Linked DNA regions of Arabidopsis thaliana. The protein of the gene in region 1 interacts with the protein of each later gene in a pairwise test. Each region holds a gene or a part of one and is shown in the gene's direction. Other genes may lie near its edges. The genes, in order: AO, AT1G76210, UBC17 and FMO.

What was found.
Region 2: the proteins of AO (region 1) and AT1G76210 interact in a two-hybrid assay, tested with the Arabidopsis thaliana proteins (one large-scale study listed by BioGRID).
Region 3: the proteins of AO (region 1) and UBC17 interact in a two-hybrid assay, tested with the Arabidopsis thaliana proteins (one large-scale study listed by BioGRID).
Region 4: the proteins of AO (region 1) and FMO interact in a two-hybrid assay, tested with the Arabidopsis thaliana proteins (one large-scale study listed by BioGRID).

The regions. Positions count from the first base shown.
Region 1 is NC_003076.8:4,766,278-4,772,701, forward strand, and holds AO (L-aspartate oxidase), read left to right. Parts: upstream 1-1,985; 5' UTR 1,986-2,465; intron 2,466-2,838; 5' UTR 2,839-2,855; coding exon 2,856-2,983; intron 2,984-3,162; coding exon 3,163-3,514; intron 3,515-3,643; coding exon 3,644-3,886; intron 3,887-3,968; coding exon 3,969-4,025; intron 4,026-4,109; coding exon 4,110-4,190; intron 4,191-4,565; coding exon 4,566-4,627; intron 4,628-4,702; coding exon 4,703-5,735; 3' UTR 5,736-5,876; downstream 5,877-6,424. UniProt on the Arabidopsis thaliana protein: Catalyzes the oxidation of L-aspartate to iminoaspartate. Can complement nadB-deficient E.coli mutant. Plays a role in stomatal immunity.
Region 2 is NC_003070.9:28,594,428-28,597,561, reverse strand, and holds AT1G76210 (DUF241 domain protein, putative (DUF241)), read left to right. Parts: upstream 1-1,565; 5' UTR 1,566-1,679; coding exon 1,680-2,360; 3' UTR 2,361-2,612; downstream 2,613-3,134. Other genes in the region: AT1G76220 (hypothetical protein (DUF241)), read left to right, coding at 1-32.
Region 3 is NC_003075.7:17,200,196-17,203,513, forward strand, and holds UBC17 (ubiquitin-conjugating enzyme 17), read left to right. Parts: upstream 1-1,726; 5' UTR 1,727-1,773; coding exon 1,774-1,803; intron 1,804-1,906; coding exon 1,907-2,010; intron 2,011-2,086; coding exon 2,087-2,189; intron 2,190-2,277; coding exon 2,278-2,341; intron 2,342-2,423; coding exon 2,424-2,512; intron 2,513-2,599; coding exon 2,600-2,695; 3' UTR 2,696-2,793; downstream 2,794-3,318. Other genes in the region: D2HGDH (FAD-linked oxidases family protein), read left to right, coding at 1-100, 185-277. UniProt on the Arabidopsis thaliana protein: Accepts the ubiquitin from the E1 complex and catalyzes its covalent attachment to other proteins.
Region 4 is NC_003070.9:4,135,606-4,140,667, forward strand, and holds FMO (Flavin-binding monooxygenase family protein), read left to right. Parts: upstream 1-1,905; 5' UTR 1,906-2,021; coding exon 2,022-2,583; intron 2,584-2,810; coding exon 2,811-2,881; intron 2,882-2,997; coding exon 2,998-3,150; intron 3,151-3,257; coding exon 3,258-3,340; intron 3,341-3,455; coding exon 3,456-3,591; coding exon of another isoform or gene 3,592-3,735; coding exon 3,736-3,912; intron 3,913-4,014; coding exon 4,015-4,230; 3' UTR 4,231-4,553; downstream 4,554-5,062. UniProt on the Arabidopsis thaliana protein: Catalyzes the conversion of methylthioalkyl glucosinolates of any chain length into methylsulfinylalkyl glucosinolates.

The DNA.
Region 1 (6,424 bases):
TTAGAGTTTTCTGCATACAAAATTCGAATGATCTATTTGGGCATATCACATATCCAATGATACTTGTACATGGTTTTTTTAAAAAAAATATTTCTTCCTAATGAAAGAAAAACAGAGGCAATGATATTTTGATATAGCTGGCACATTTAAAATTCTAGACATATTAAACTCTTAACGCTGGAAGTTGAGGCAATATATAAGAGGGGTAGTAATTTTATATACAACATTTTATTGTCATAACTATATAAGAGGAGTGTGTATTTTTACATATAAATGTTATAATTAATTATGTCGTAGAATGTATGATTGAGGAATTTGATGGACCTAAGTACCTAACACTCATTTATTCACAATCTTATCATTTAATTTTGTTTGATTCTAATATCAGGTTTGATATTCTATACATGGCCAAGGAATTTGTGATTCACAAGTTTACCATCTTTTCAAAATCATGTAATGATTTATGCTACGAACTAAATGATATATTTAAATAGACTTTATTTATGTTAATTATATAATATGATAAATATAGCTAATTCTTATTGATACTAATTATATTGTTGAGGTTCTATCATTAATTTACGTGGTGAAACTGCAATTTGATTTGCGGAAATGATCTTATATCATTAGAAGGAACAACTAGGACACTGCTCTTTTACATATGTGCGAGTTTTACCAATAAGATATTGACTAACTACGAGACGAACATTAGTATTTGCTAATGTGTTTCGCTGATTTTCTAGGTTTTAGTCGTGACGTGAAATTCAGTAAGAAGCACAACGAAATGCCATCGGCTCATGTGTGTGAAAAAATTAAAAATTTATGGGCTGAACAATTCTAATTGCATGATGATTCGGGTTTAATTTAGGCCTCTGGAAAATCCAGGGCTTATTTCCATGCAAAATCTTAGGTCAGTATTGGGCCCGCCTTTCAAAAGCCCAATTTTAATTATTCGTTTTTGTTGTCCGATAAAAAATCCAGAAGAAGTCATCTCTCCCCTTAAAAACGGTAGTCAAAACTAAAAGACTCAAAGTGATTTCCAGTAAGTTTTGTAGAAAATAAAATAATTGTGGCCATTGGAGATTTAGCAAGGCTCATGGAAAAGTGATTGTTCTTTTTTCCCCATGATTCTAGTTATAAGGCCATCCTTGATGCATACATCAACACCATGACTGGTCCAAAATAGCATAGGTCTAAAGATGATGAAGCAAATGATAATCAGTTTATTCCGATAGAAGCAAATGAGGATGTCATCAATTGTGGATGTTATACCTGATTAGTTAAGCAAACCATTAGCACTATGTTTAGTTAGAAAAGAAGGAAATTATGATAGCCATAAAAATGCCAACATTTTCCCTTTTAAATTGCATTCGTGGTTTTTGAAATTTTATTATTTAATTAATTTGTTTTCTTTCAGTTGTCATTTGAATGGTTATCATAATTCGGTCTTATATTATTGATTTTTATTATTCGTTAGGTTTTTTTCAGTTGTCTGATGGAAAATTCAGAAGCCACCACTTACAAATCAAAAGTATAAAAAAAGACTCAAAAGAAGACTCCAAAATCCAAATAGTTTTTCTCCATTTTTTTTTTCTTTTTCCAGAAATTATAGTTATAGAAATAAATAGTTGTGGCCGTTGGAGATTTGCATTGGCCACGAGTCATGGAAAAGTGAATGTTCTTTTTCCATGATTCTTCTAGTCGGTCATGCTTGGTGCATGTATGAACACATATTTAAAGTTCTATACAAGTTGTTAGAATTCTTTTAAATTTAATTTGCTTTATTTATTTTTTTAGTTTTAGTTTTGGAAAATCATGGTCACACATCTTGAGCTACCGTTGTTATTTATATATAAATGTTCTTAATATTAAAAAATTATGAACCACAGGGCTAATAAACTTGAATATTTGTAGGGTCAATGGCTTTATTAATGTGTATATTTGTAGAAGAAAGCTGGGAAATATTCTATAAGTAAATTATCATCTTATACACTAATTTTTTAAAAATCCACGCCTAGTAATAAATTCCAATTTTTTTTAACTCAGTAATAAATTCCATTTTTTATTAAAAGTTTATTTCATAGAAGTACTTTTTTTTTTATGTGATAAAAGAAAAACTGAAGAAGGCCAATGAAAAATGAAGATCCCAAAGACATAAAAAGTGACAAAAGAGAAGAATAAAGAAAGACCAACAACACCACTTGGGGGAGGCTCCCATACACAAAACGAAGGCGCGAATTTCAAGGACTCTTCTCGACGACCAAACCACATAAAACACTCTTACCAGAATTTGTGTTGTCTTCGTTCATTTCCTTCTCCTCTTCTTCTTCTTCTTCGTCGTAATTTTGATTGTTTCTTTGCGAAAAGTCGTTTTTTTAATCAAGTCTGAATCACGTTTTATTGATCTACACTCGCGTGGGTTCTCCGTTTCGTGCTTAGATCAGAGAGCTCCCTCCCGTGATTCCGTAAGATTTCTGCGTTTCTCATTACTTGGTTTCATTTCAACGTAGATTCTGAATTTTGTGTGATCTAGTCTACACATTTTTTTTTAATTCTTTCCTCTGCTCCTAAATTCCAGAATTCAGACAACGGTTGCGATATTTCTTATGTCTTTTTTTCTATCGTTGTTCATTTCAGAAGTTTCGATATAAAAAAGGTTATTGTTGGATTTTGAGTAACACATTGTCCTCAATTCTCATCGTTCTTCAATCAAATTTTGGATTTTGAGCATCATGGATGATGGATCTATGCATTTTGATTTTATATTGTACAGAAAGAATGTTTCTTGTTTTGTTTTGATGATGTTTTCTTATGACAACAATCTTCATGTTTTTGTAGGAGCTTTAAGGTCGGAAATGGCGGCTCATGTTTCTACTGGAAACATTCATAATTTCTATCTTGCGGGGCAGGTTTACAGGGGACAAGCTTTTTCATGGAGTTCTGCTTCTACTTTCATGGCAAATCCATTCAAAGAGCCCTCTTGGTATCACTTCTTTTAATCTTTAATCCCAAATTTTGTCCCTTTTGTGTAGCAATTGGCATTTTGAGGTTCATGTTTCTCATTTATGATTTTGCTCTTTGTTCTCATGTAGAACTTTAACTAGTTAGACCTATAGTTTCTCATGCTGGACTCAAACTTTTATAATCTCTGTGTGCATATAGGTCAAGTGGGGTATTTAAGGCTCTAAAAGCTGAGAGATGTGGTTGTTACTCTCGTGGTATTTCCCCCATCAGTGAGACCTCAAAACCTATCAGGGCTGTTTCGGTATCTTCTTCAACAAAGTATTATGATTTCACTGTGATTGGTAGTGGAGTAGCGGGTCTGCGTTATGCTTTAGAAGTTGCAAAGCAAGGAACAGTCGCAGTGATTACCAAAGATGAGCCTCATGAGAGTAACACAAACTATGCTCAAGGTGGTGTTAGTGCTGTGTTATGCCCTTTGGATTCTGTTGAAAGTCATATGCGGGACACTATGGTCGCTGGTGCTCATCTTTGTGATGAAGAAACCGTAAGAGTAAGTTCCCTTTGTTGCTGATCATTACCTCAAAACTGTTTGATAAGTGCTTGTGTTAGTCTCGTGCATAAGCATTTTGTAATGGTCTAAACCTGTCTCACTTTTCTGTATCTGAATGTTCTTTTTCAGGTTGTGTGTACTGAAGGGCCTGAAAGGATTCGTGAACTGATTGCAATGGGAGCATCATTTGATCACGGCGAGGATGGAAATTTGCATTTGGCCAGAGAGGGTGGTCACTCGCATTGTAGGATCGTTCACGCTGCTGATATGACAGGAAGAGAGATTGAGAGAGCTTTACTTGAAGCTGTACTTAATGATCCCAACATATCTGTCTTCAAACACCATTTTGCAATCGATCTGCTCACTTCTCAGGTTCCACTTCACACCCTTGAAAAACACATGTGCATATATGATCAATTGGCTTATCAGATCATATCTTTTTGTATCTTAACAGGATGGCTTGAACACAGTTTGTCATGGTGTGGACACTTTGAATATCAAAACTAATGAGGTACACAAAGATCTTGTTTCTGGTGGTTTGATCATTCACCTTATATCTTAGATTGTAATGTAAAAAAAACTCATGTTTCTTCAGGTAGTACGCTTTATATCGAAGGTGACATTGCTTGCTTCAGGTGGAGCTGGGCATATCTATCCATCAACCACAAATCCTCTGGTAACATTTTCTATAGACTCTCTTTTTAACAAAGCTCTATGGAAGTTTCATTTTACCAATTTTATCAGAAGAAAGAATGTGCAGGATCAACACAACAGTTTTGTGTGTTTATGGGAAATATCCAAAAATGAAACTTTGATTAAGTAATGTGATTTATCCCTTGAATACAAAAGAAAATGTCGAAATTATCACGGGTATACACAAACATACTGCATTAGAGTTTTAGATTTAATAGTTCAAACAGTTGCAGAAACAAAGAGATTTTAGTCATAGAGTACATTTTTTTGCTAAATTCGGTTGTGCTAGTCGCAATGATATTTCTCTAAAAGTGATATATTATGCTCCATTTTAATTATCGACATGGTTTTTGTATAGGTGGCTACTGGAGATGGGATGGCGATGGCTCATCGAGCTCAAGCTGTGATCTCAAATATGGAGTAAGTGAACACCGAAAAACCGACTGAAGAAACTTGTTGACAATAAACTTATGTTTTGTATTTGTTTTTGGTTAGATTTGTGCAGTTTCATCCTACTGCCCTAGCCGACGAAGGTCTTCCCATCAAACTACAAACTGCTAGGGAAAACGCGTTCCTCATCACCGAGGCGGTGAGAGGTGATGGTGGCATCCTCTATAATCTAGGAATGGAGCGATTCATGCCTGTTTACGATGAACGAGCTGAGCTTGCTCCAAGAGACGTGGTTGCAAGAAGTATTGATGACCAGCTTAAGAAACGAAACGAAAAGTATGTGTTACTTGACATAAGCCATAAGCCAAGAGAAAAGATTCTTGCCCATTTCCCGAACATAGCTTCTGAATGTCTTAAACACGGTCTGGATATCACCCGTCAGCCTATTCCGGTTGTCCCTGCAGCCCATTACATGTGTGGAGGAGTTCGTGCTGGTTTACAAGGCGAAACCAATGTCCTTGGATTGTTTGTAGCAGGTGAAGTAGCATGTACAGGCCTCCACGGGGCAAATCGTCTTGCTAGTAACTCGCTTTTAGAAGCTCTGGTTTTCGCGAGACGGGCTGTTCAGCCTTCGACTGAGCTCATGAAACGCACAAGACTTGATGTATGCGCATCAGAGAAATGGACAAGGCCTGTTGTTGCGACAGCTAGATTGCTAGGAGATGAAGTAATAGCAAAGATTATAGCTTTGACTAAAGAAGTGAGAAGAGAGCTTCAGGAGGTAATGTGGAAGTATGTTGGTATTGTCAGATCGACAATTCGGCTCACCACTGCTGAGAGGAAAATCGCAGAGCTAGAAGCAAAATGGGAAACATTTTTGTTTGAACATGGATGGGAACAAACAGTGGTAGCTCTTGAAGCTTGTGAGATGAGAAACTTGTTCTGTTGCGCTAAGCTTGTGGTGAGCAGCGCGTTAGCTAGACATGAAAGCAGAGGTCTTCATTACATGACAGACTTTCCTTTTGTGGAAGAAAGCAAGCGGATTCCGACGATTATTCTACCGTCTTCTCCTACAACAGCTAGTTGGAGCTCAAGGCGGTTACAGAATATAAGTAGCAGCTCACTTATTGATTGCTAAAACTGCAGGAGTTTTTGTTCTTATTTGAATCCAAACCTCTCTGATTATTGTATCAATTTGAAAAAATTTGGATCTCAAAAGGAATCTCTGATTCTGACACTCTGTAATACAAAAGGAAATAAATTATTCATTTGAGATATCAATCATATTGGTAATTCATATTTCAATTCCTTTGTTATGGTTTATTGATGACTTTCTGAATGAAAGAAACAACTGTGAGTGTGGATTTCCCAAGCAAGAAGCAGGATTGAGAACAGTCTTGTGTTCACTGACTCCATATCCTCGGTTCCTTTTTTTTCTGAGTAAATCATTCCAAAAGCTTCTATCCTTCTCCTGAGGAAATCACGAGCTCCAAGCTCGGGTATGGCTTCCATGACCAGACCAAACATGAATTCATTCTTCCTGTCTTCTTCAACTAGACCAGGGTGTGATCTGAGAAGGCTGCACAAAGGCACATCCATTAATAATCAGAGATCTCTTCTGCAATGTCGCTTTAGAACAGCCTAGTTACTAGTTACATCCAGAAACCAGCTAGATCATAAGTCTTGCCTGCTCTGCAGCTGCCATCGCCGTTCTGCTACAATGAAATTCAAAGGGTATTTTCAGGAGATAGTTTTGGCTCGTGCAATTTGATTTAACAAAGAATAAAGATATCCTGAATTACAATGTGAAGAAGTACTATGGTGCAC
Region 2 (3,134 bases), on another chromosome or scaffold:
GAGTTTCTTTTCTTAACATGCTTACTCTTTGAGATTGTATAGATGTAATTTTGTTCATTGTGAAGTATTGTTGGCTTTAGTTTAGGCAAAGTCTCTCAGATCATATTGATCTTTAGAACTTGTAAAACTTTGTGTGCAGCGTTCTTAAATCATATTCAAACGATTACTTGTCAAGAATACGAGTTCGAGATAACAATTATCAGCAGATCACTTCAGTACTCTATGAATATTTCATAAGTTTATAGTTATACAATCATGAGACTGATGAGTGTATCAGTTTTCTTATCAGAAGTTGTTGCAAAACAGAGTAAGGATGAATTTGAGATAATGGGCTTATTAATTGAGTTTCATGGGCTTTATTTTATGTTTGATGGGTTGTTTGCAAAAAAAATAGCTAAAGAAATTACGCAATAATGTCTTATTTTCTCTGTGTGTTTTTATAATCACGCAATAATGTCTTCTTATTTCTCTTTTTTTAATCACGCAATAATGTCTCTACATGATGATGACAACAGAGAAAATATAATGCATGGTTGATTATTCGTTATAATTAGTAGCTATACCTTCCAAACGGGAAATCGAATAATAAGATTGCTGCACTAACAACATAATAAAAATGAAAGCATTTCAGCATTTGGAGTTGGAGGGATATGAATCTAATTATATAATTTGTGGGAAGATATTAATTTGTTGAAAATAACCTGAGATATAAAGATCTTAAACATAAAATCTAATCCAGGATGTATTCATGCGTCGAGCCGTCGAGGTGGTTACCTGATTGATAGAGAAATTAGACATATAAACATATATGTATTAATGTATGCGTATTATTACTGTCCACGTTATAGAAAAGGTATATTGGTATTTGTGTGAAACTGTGAATATTTCGCTTGTCCAGAAACATATATTGAGAGGTTAACACGTAACACAATGTCACAATCGCATGTATTGCCAAAGATAAGTTCCGGTTTTAAAATGATTATTGATCATATATTCATATTGATCAAGTAGTTACCATTATTTGTTTTCTGTTACTGTAAGACTTATATTACTTTCTTGTTGGTAATTAATATATCCATTTAACTTGATACATAAAACATATCTGACAAACCCTTAACATAATATTTAAAGTCTGATCCAAAATCTAAACATTTCTCATCTCATTTAATATTCGTCCGTCTGTTCCAAATTGTTGCAATTTACCAACACAGCCTGGCACCGTCGCTCGTGCATGCATGGTATATAGTATATAATTAAACCTTAAGACTATATATTAGAATAAAAATCTTTAAAACTATATATTATAAATTGAAAATCTAAACGAATCCACAATGTACCCTAATCCACGAGTGCCTCTTACGTACAAAGAAGGTTCCTTGTGACATGTTTTGAATCATTTAAATCATTGTTTTGATAATACCTCCAAAATGAGCTGTTCCCCGGATGTCCCACGTCCGTACAAAAACCCAAACTTGGGAACCTTCATCGTACTTTCCCTCAGATCCTTCTTAACCTCTATATATAATCTCATTCTTACACACATTCAATATATCTCTAATCTTCGCTTAAAACTCTCAAGAAGCCCTAAAAACCATTCACAATTACATCAAAAAATACCTTTTCAAATTCTTTTTTTACATTCATAAAGCTAAGTATCTCGAATAGATTAAGATCTATCTATGGCTCAGATTAACTTTGAGGGTTTGAGAGAGCTACACGACTGCGTAAACTATCTCCTCCATCACTGTCCGAAAACAAGAGAATCTCTGTCTCAACAAGGACAAGAGAAATGGACGGAACAAGTTTCAGAAGCTTCATTGAGGATGTTAGACATCTGTAACGTATCCAAAGATGTGATGACGCTCGTGAAACACAGCTTGCAAGATCTACAACTGACTCTACGTGGCAACGAATCATCTGATGTCAACGAGAAGATAGCTGCGTATAATCGGTATAAGAACAAGCTCAAGAAGGAGACACTGAAATGCTTAAACTGTTTGAAGAACATGAAAGGAAACGAAGGAAGAGTGGCCATGCCAATAGAACAGAACCTTCTGTTTGTCACAGAAGTTTTGAAGGAAGTGAGAAGAGTCGTTGTGACGATGGTTGAGTCTTTGTTCTCACTTGGTTGTATTCCTTGGCTAGAGAAGAGATCGAGCAAAGGGTCTTTGTCTTCGATCTTTTCCATTCGGTCTTCCTATTTGTTAGATGATGAATGGGACGAGACTGCGGTGCAAAGCGCGACTACGAGGTTGGAGGCGGCGGAGATTACTGTAGTGGAGCTTGAAATAGAGTTGGAATCTATTTTCCGGCGATTGATTCAGACGAGAGTTTCACTTCTTAATATTCTCACCAACTAGATAATATATGATATGTCCGGATCGGTTAGGTTTTGCTTCAAGCGGACATGTTTAGTTAACATTAAATAGATTGATTTGTAAACTTATTTTCAAGTTTGCAACATCAAATTCTTTTATTCTATATAATTTATTTTTTTACCCGTTTCCTAAACTGGCTACTTGGATTAAAGACTTGAAGTTGAAGGCACACTTTTTGTCTTCACCAAAAATAGAGTCAAAATGAAATTGTTATTCAAGTAAAATTTGAATTATAGATGTTTGTTTATTTATTCACAATTCATGTTGCTAGAATAGACATTTTCAATTTGATGATTTTGCATATTTTTTTTGGTTTTCAGATATAGTTATAAAAACCATTAACAAATTCAGTTTCGTAAGTGTTAATTTGTATACTTAACACAGCGAATATAACTAATTTCTAGTGTTTCTTTGTAATTCGTATCATTGGAGGCTGGATCTAAAAACACGAATCTCGCAATGCGTTTTATTTCAAATTAATTTGTTGACAGCAAAATAACAACATGATCAGGAAGTGCAACACACAAGTAGTAACTTAAAACAGAAGCAGCAAGTCTTACAAAGTTGTGTACAAAAACAATTCACGTCTTCTTCACAGTTCTCTTTATTTCGACATATGAAGCTGAAAATTAAGAAAAAAACAAGAGACGATCCTTTTTTCGTCATGATCTTCAAAGGTTCAGTGAGACCTAGCAGCAAAACCCAAAACCAGATTAGTGTCAAGTAGTTTGAGCAATGCTTATATGGTTACATGAA
Region 3 (3,318 bases), on another chromosome or scaffold:
CTATGAGTGGACATCAAAGCACCGTGGAAGCATCAGTGCGGAACATGGATTAGGTGTAATGAAAGCTAATGAAATCTTCTACAGCAAATCACCCGAAACTGTAAGTTAACAACAAACAACGTATGGAAACTATGTATAGAACTATCGTGTCACTCTATTCTTACCGGAATATAATATTATGCAGGTTGCATTAATGGCTTCCATTAAAAAGTTGCTGGACCCAAAGGGAATTCTCAACCCTTACAAAGTTCTTCCTCACTCTCTCTTCTCCAACTAAGGTAAAAGATTATTATGCTTTATGATTACGCACCGAAATTATTGAAAGCATCTATCTTTCTATCTATGAATGCTCTTCCAACGTCAAAAGTGAAGAATCATCATCTTTTACTTTGGAATCATTGACATTCTTTTTTCGGCGAATGCAAGGGTGGTGATGAGATGATTCTTCAAACAGGAATTTGGAACATGAGCAGCCAAGTTTGAGCGATATGATTGATGCAAAGGAACAAAAATACAAGTGCTGATTAAAAAGTCTTTAAACTCAAAAGTGTATATGCTTCGCTTCTTCTTCTTTGTTGTTGTTGTTGTTGTTACCTTGTTTTAATATCTTTTTAGTAAAGGATAAGAAAGAATCTAAACCTATTGATCTTACGTGTATTTAAAGTTAAAATTTGCAGTGTATGTAGACCAAAACTCGAAAAGATAATCTATAATAATAGTATTTTCAAGAATCTTCACATAATATCTTTCTATTCTTGGAATTTCTGTTGTAATGGATTTTCTTATTTTGTTCACAAAAAGACTTTATTTTTATTTTTCCCCATAGTTCTGTTTTTACTTCATGTATTACCTTTCTTTAATGTCTTACTAGGAGAAACCAGATCGGTCAGATAAACCGGAATAATATCTGGTCCGATTGATTTGTATAAGTCTAACTAACTTCTCTAATTTAAGAGATAAGCTATAGATTTTAACATATTTGTTCTAAGTTCTACCAAGTATATATTCTTCTGAGACCTAAGTTGGACCTAACTAGATAGGAATATAAGATCCGTATTACCATAGTTCATAGACCATAGTTTCCATGGAACAAATGTGTACAAGTTTTGGTTTAAGGTGAAGCCAATGCATACAACAACATCATGCATCATAATTGTAATTATGACTAGTCAGTTTTGATATATAATCAAGTTGCTTACAACTTTTGTAACCATCGATCCATTCAAAATAATCAGAAGGACAAGGGCAATAAGACAATGAAAGCAATATATCATCGCTAAAAATCCAAGGCATCGTTGAATGATGGATCCATAAACCGGAAATAAATTAAAATAATGTTACAAGCCAACTTTTACCTGATGCATGTATCAATTCTTATTTTTGGTTAATATCAATAATATGCATGCATCAGTTTGGTTATCCTAAAATTTACATAACTCAGATATTCATAATGGTATGAGATTTTTAATTTAAGAAATTTGGTTTTCCGAAATAGATATTGGAATGTTTTATGATAATATTCCTAACTGGTTTGATCATGATCGCGAGAGTAGCAAAAGCGTGTAAGATTCGCTTCTCCAACACAAGTGGAAAGTCCCGGATTAAAGAGAGCCGACACAATAAAAACGACGTCGGATTGATGACTGGACATAGACCCAAACGCTTTAGACACATTGCAAAGATGATAAGACACTATAAAAAGCTCACTGGATATGGCTAAGGAGACAAAACACACACAATCTCTCTCTCTCACACTCACTGTAATAAACACAAATGACGAGTTCTTCTGAATCAACTCGCAAGGTTGGTTAATTGTTTCTTTAACTAAATATAACAGTACCTTTTTGGTTATAATTCCATTGTTGTCTTTGGTTTGATCATCTCTCTCTTGTTCTTACTATGTTAGGGTCTGACCAAAATCGCCACGAACCGGTTGCAGAAAGAGTTCATGGAGTGGCAAACCAATCCTCCTTCTGGTTTCAAGCACAGAGTCTCTGATAATCTCCAACGGTACATAATCATTTTATTGTCTTTCCTTCGAATATTGATAATCGGTGATGTAATGTTGAATTGTTGGTGTAAACAGATGGATCATTGAAGTGCATGGAGTTCCAGGAACTCTTTACGCCAATGAAACTTACCAACTTCAAGTTGAGTTCCCTGAGCATTATCCTATGGAAGCTCCACAGGTTCGTCCTCTAACTCCTTTTGTTAATACTTAACGATACTTAATCATCGCATCAATCTCATAACCCGATGGTTCCACATATAAAACAGGTTATCTTTCAGCATCCAGCTCCACTTCATCCTCATATTTACAGCAACGGTCACATTTGTTTAGGTAAGTACATACAAACACAATGACTCACTCTGTTTCAAAGTCCAATGACAAGACCCTTCTATGTGTTCTTTTGATTATGCAGATGTCTTGTATGATTCGTGGTCACCGGCGATGAGACTAAGTTCCATCTGTCTCAGCATTCTCTCAATGCTCTCCAGCTCATCCGTGAAGGTTTGTGTGTTTTATCTTCTTCTCATATTTCAAAGGCTTTCACAGAATAATCTTCTTCTTATGATGTTTATTGTTCTCTCCTTACAGCAAAAGCCGAAAGACAATGACCATTACTTGAAAAACTGCAAACATGGAAGATCTCCCAAAGAAACTAGGTGGCGTTTCCATGACGATAAAGTATAACATCTCCTATAATATTGTGATTACAAACGAATTGTAAGATCTCAGGTCGAGTTCTTGATCTGTTGCTATCTTTAAAACAAGAACAGCTTCTTTCTACAGTTTAACCATACGAAAAGCTTGAGCATAAAACTTGAAAATTTGGAAATAACATGATTCATTATTATATGAAAGAAATCATCAACTGTTAGTACAAACCAAGAACTGAGAGAATGATTGATCCAAAGAAGAGAGAACTTTGCTTCTAACAAGCCTTCGTGTATATTTGATAGAAGACAAAAATCTGTTTCTATCTCTAAAGAAAAGAGCTGCTGATGACTTTCCATCACATCTTACATTTGTAATAAACACTAGGAAGGACTACTCAGCAGAAGCTTCATTTGTTCTTGCTCATGCTCCATTTTAATAACACCTGCAATGTCAAAACCTAAAGCTTAAGCATATGAAGCAAACACGAATCATACAGATGCTAGAATACCTACTAAAAGTGTTTATAGACCAAGCAATTTCACATGTTTCCCAATAGACTACAAAAGCTATTCTAATTGCTCTTGCTCTGTACATTTCGACAAGAAACTTCAAAGGCCCTTCATGAAACTCAACGTCAAGCTCAGAACTTTACTCCC
Region 4 (5,062 bases), on another chromosome or scaffold:
ATTTGTCTTCTTCACACTGACGCTGCAACTCCCTCTCACATCATCGGCTACAAATTCCTCACTTTAATTGTCGCTTAAATTGCATTTTGGTCTGAGAAAACGAAATATGTTCGTTTTAAGACATACCAAAAAAAAGTTTTGCACAAAAGAAAAAAAAAAGACATACCAAAAAACAAATTGTTGCATAAACAACTACAAAAACACATTAAAATTACAAATTAAGTAGTATATTTTTAAAAATATATATGAAAATATATAAAACATCTAATCTTTAGATTTAAAAAAAAAAAAAAAAAAGAATATATATGTACAACAATTCGACCATACCTAAGCGAAAACCTAATTGGTAGATTAGTCTTTGTGAAGTTCCAAGAGGTTTGATATAAATATATAATCTACGGTTGTAGTGTTTTGTCCAAAAGGCAAAAGTGTCCATAAAGCAAATGAAGAAGATAAAATAGAGACGTCGTTTCCATTTTTCAAACTACTTTGGTAAAGGGTTTGTTTGCAACTTGATGGATATTTTTCCGATTTGGCGTCCATAATTTTCAAAGAACAATGACGTAGTCATTTCATATTTGCCGTCTCCTCATAGCTTTTTACTAATTTTATAATATATATACTCAAACAGTAAACTTAATTTTATGTATTTTATTTTTGAACTAAAACCAAATATACATGATCAAACTTAATTTAAATCGTAAAAGAAAGCTCACTTTCAATATTTTGAGATGTAAGTATATAAAACTTACTATTTATAATCTGAAAACAGACCTTTTAAGTACTACTTATATTATATAAATAAACTGATTTCACAAAACTATTCGAATAATATTTTAGTTTACTTTTCAATTACTTTTATATTTTTGCTATAAAGAATATGTTATGGGACATAAAAATTAAAAATGTCTTATCTTTTCTCTTGATCTCTTCTATTAGGCATATATTACAAAAGAGAGATAACCGATGTGTCTATACATTAAAATGTTCATATATTAGCCCTTTCAGAAAGAAAAAAAAAATGTTCCCCCAGATCAAACAATAGTTAGCTAAATCATTGATTGGAAAGGTTTTTAAAAAAAAGAAGCTGTGCAAACTTTAGAAACAATTTTTGTTTTCTAAATTTGGGATATTACTCATAGTCTGGGATAAACAAATTGTTGAATATATTTTCTAATTTATAAATAAATATTATTCTTGGTAAGAAAATTAGATATTTGTGCATATATATGCAACGATATTAGTTTATATGATGTGAATACTGATAGGAATATTTTATGATGCCAATCTACATAAATATATTTATTCCTACACATATTATAACAGAAAAAGTTTCTTTTTTGGTATACCATGTTGAATAGTACACATGATCCTGGACACTGTTGGGTGATAGATACATTGGGCTGCACTTTAAAAGAAGTAACCAGTCTTCTTCAAAAACTAAAAAAGATACATATAAAGGAAAGTTAATTACAATGAATCATTAAAGCTTAATTAATGTTAATTCAATCATTTTTCATTAAAAATTGTGGAAGCACATCCACTTGATCAAATGATTTAAAGCTCTATATCATGTTTTTTTTGTAACAAATCCCATAAAATGTAATTGCAAAATTTTATCTGAATATCTTCAAATTTGATAATCAGTTTTAGTTCAAATTCTGGTAGATCAGTGATAGATTCTAATTTTTTTATGTAACTACAAGTTTTATAGTCACTTTTAGAGTGATACAAAATTCATTAAGTTCTTTATATTCTCTGATAAAAACAACTAAACATGACTCTCAAGCCTGAAGGTATGCTACCTACTTAATTGAGTTTAATATTCCTACGAGATTACGGAAGAATTGTCCACACTGAAGTGACACGTCATCGTTAGAGTTACCTTTTTCCTCGTATATAATATACACATCGTTATAATCGAAACACACCATCACCTCAATTCTCTCTTCGTTAACATTACAAATTTACAATCTCTTCATCTTTCTTCATTAGATCACAAAACTTCACTATAACCTAACATGGCAACGAGTCATCCTGATCCAACCACCTCTCGCCACGTGGCAGTAATCGGAGCCGGAGCCGCTGGACTCGTAGCTGCTCGTGAGCTACGTCGTGAAGGCCACTCAGTAGTCGTCTTAGAGCGCGGGAGCCAAATCGGAGGCGTGTGGGCTTACACCTCTCAAGTCGAACCAGACCCGCTTAGCCTCGACCCGACCCGACCCGTCGTCCACTCAAGCCTCTACAGATCCCTACGTACCAACATCCCTCGAGAATGCATGGGCTTCACCGACTTCCCTTTTGCGACCCGACCACACGACGGGTCAAGGGATCCGAGAAGACATCCGGCTCATACTGAGGTTCTTGCTTACCTGCGAGACTTTGCTAAAGAATTCGATATCGAGGAAATGGTTAGGTTCGAGACGGAGGTTGTTAAGGCGGAGCAGGTGGCGGCAGAGGGGGAGGAGAGAGGGAAGTGGAGGGTTGAATCGAGAAGCTCCGATGGTGTTGTCGACGAGATATACGACGCCGTTGTGGTTTGTAACGGACACTATACCGAGCCTCGTCATGCTCTTATCACTGGTAATAAGCAAAACCTTACTTGTGTCTTGAGTTTGTGTATTTTATATGTTCAATTAAAAAGAATTTTGTCGTAATATGATAGGTTTAAAAAAATTTCACATAAAGAAAATTAGTTTAAAATAGTAAGAATTCAATTAAAAACAGAGTTTTCTTGAGGGATGGATTATTCGTCAAACAATATCAATATTTAGGTTTTCATTTGGGAATAATATTTTTTTTTTTTTCAGGCATAGATTCATGGCCAGGCAAGCAGATTCACAGCCACAATTACCGTGTTCCTGACCAATTCAAAGATCAGGTACTTGCAGAAGAATCCCATCACTAGAGTGAATCTTGTACGTGATCTCATATATATCCACGTTTCTCTTCACTTTTAACTCTTGGATCGTTTCCTTTTTGTTGTGTAATTTGTAGGTGGTGATAGTGATCGGAAGCTCTGCGAGTGGAGTTGATATATGCAGAGATATAGCGCAGGTCGCGAAAGAAGTCCACGTATCATCTAGATCAACTTCACCGGATACTTACGAGAAGCTTACCGGTTACGAGAATCTATGGCTTCACTCAACGGTACACTAACTAACCGGCCAATGAATGATGTTGGTTGTTTGATAATTCAGTTACTCCATCTATAAGACGGTTGAATGATATAATATAGGTTACAACGTTCATTGTAGATTCAAATTGCCCGCGAAGACGGTTCGGTGGTTTTCGAGAATGGAAAGACAATTTACGCGGATACCATCATGCATTGTACCGGGTAAGATACATATCGGCTCAAATCTCTAAAAGAGATTAAACATCAGAACACAGAACATAGGAAATTTGAAAACGTTTTCACTGACTTGTTTTTATCTTGTTAATATCTTCATCAGGTACAAGTATTACTTCCCGTTTCTTGACACGAAAGGTGAGGTGACTGTTGACGATAATCGTGTTGGACCGTTGTATAAGCATGTTTTTCCTCCAGCTCTTGCCCCCAGCCTTTCGTTCATCGGCTTACCATGGCAGGTTAATAATCTTTATAATGTTTATGATCTGGCTTCTGTGAATACATTTGCTGCTTTTATTGCATATGATCTCATTGTTTGGTTGAGGTGCACACAAAAAAAAAAAAAAAAAAAAAGATCTCATTGGTTTAACTTGGTTTCTTAGATCACTCCCTTTCCGATGTTTGAGCTTCAAAGCAAGTGGGTCGCAGCGGTCTTGTCCGGCCGAGTATCTCTCCCATCGCAAGACGAGATGATGGAAGACACTAAGGCATTCTACGATAAGCTAGAAGCCTCGGGAATTCCCAAAAGATATACACATTTGATGCCAGATGACTCTCAGGTACACATATTTCGTAGCACAACATTACATTACAAAACATGTTATCATAAAAAAAAAAAAAGGTTGAGACTAAACAAATTTTTGGTTGAATTGTTGTTGCAGTTTGAATACGACAATTGGCTTGCGGATCAATGTGAATATCCCCGGATAGAGAAATGGAGAGAACAAATGTTTTACATCGGTTTCAAGAGAATATATGCACAATCCTCTACATATAGAGATAATTGGGACGATGATCATCTCATCGTAGAAGCATACGATGATTTCGTCAAATTCATGTCAAGTTATCAAGAACTTTTGCCGATGCTCAAAACCTAATGATAATTGACGTGGGAGTTTTGTTATGCGAAAATGATGGTTGGGTATATATATATATATATATATATGTTATGTAATTGTAAGTGTGTCTTGTGGTTGCTGTGTTTCAGAATGTGAAAAAGTAGAGTTATAGTCTTAAAAGGAATGTATAACAATAATGTTTGGAATGATTTTATAAAGGTATGTAAATAATGCGATGAGACTTTCATTAGCGAAAAAAGCAAATTTCCCATTTGCATGATTGTGCACTCATCATCCATGACGTCAGTGTGCACTTGTAACTTTCTGAAGACGACTTGACTTGTTTGCTGTGTTACACGGACCCACTAAATCTATTTTTTTTCTTTCTTTTCACAGAATATATATTATTATTATTATCAATTCCATTTCTAAAAGAAAATATTCCATTAAACATTAGTAGTAACAACATTGCTTAATATGACACGGATACAAAAACAGAGCATGAAAACAGGGCAAAATAAACAGATCTTTCTTTGTTGTCACTTGTTTTGACGAGAACAGAGCAAATGCATACATAGGAACACAAAGTTAAGATTTCTCATTAAAGAGATTCATTCATGAGGAGACTGGATTCTGGAGCGTGGTCATTCTCTTAGACAAGTAATCATCTTTTTACAATTCTATAGGATTGGGTTTGTTGTTTTGAGGTTGCAAAGATGGTTGTTTGTGTTTGTGTTTATGTTTCAGTTGGTCTAGCGTTTGGTTCGCTAGTGTTGAGTTACATACTATGATCAATTCCAATGTGCACACCACTTGTTTGATGAATTGTCTCTACGAATAAAAGTGCTATATCTATATTTCTCGTAGAAAA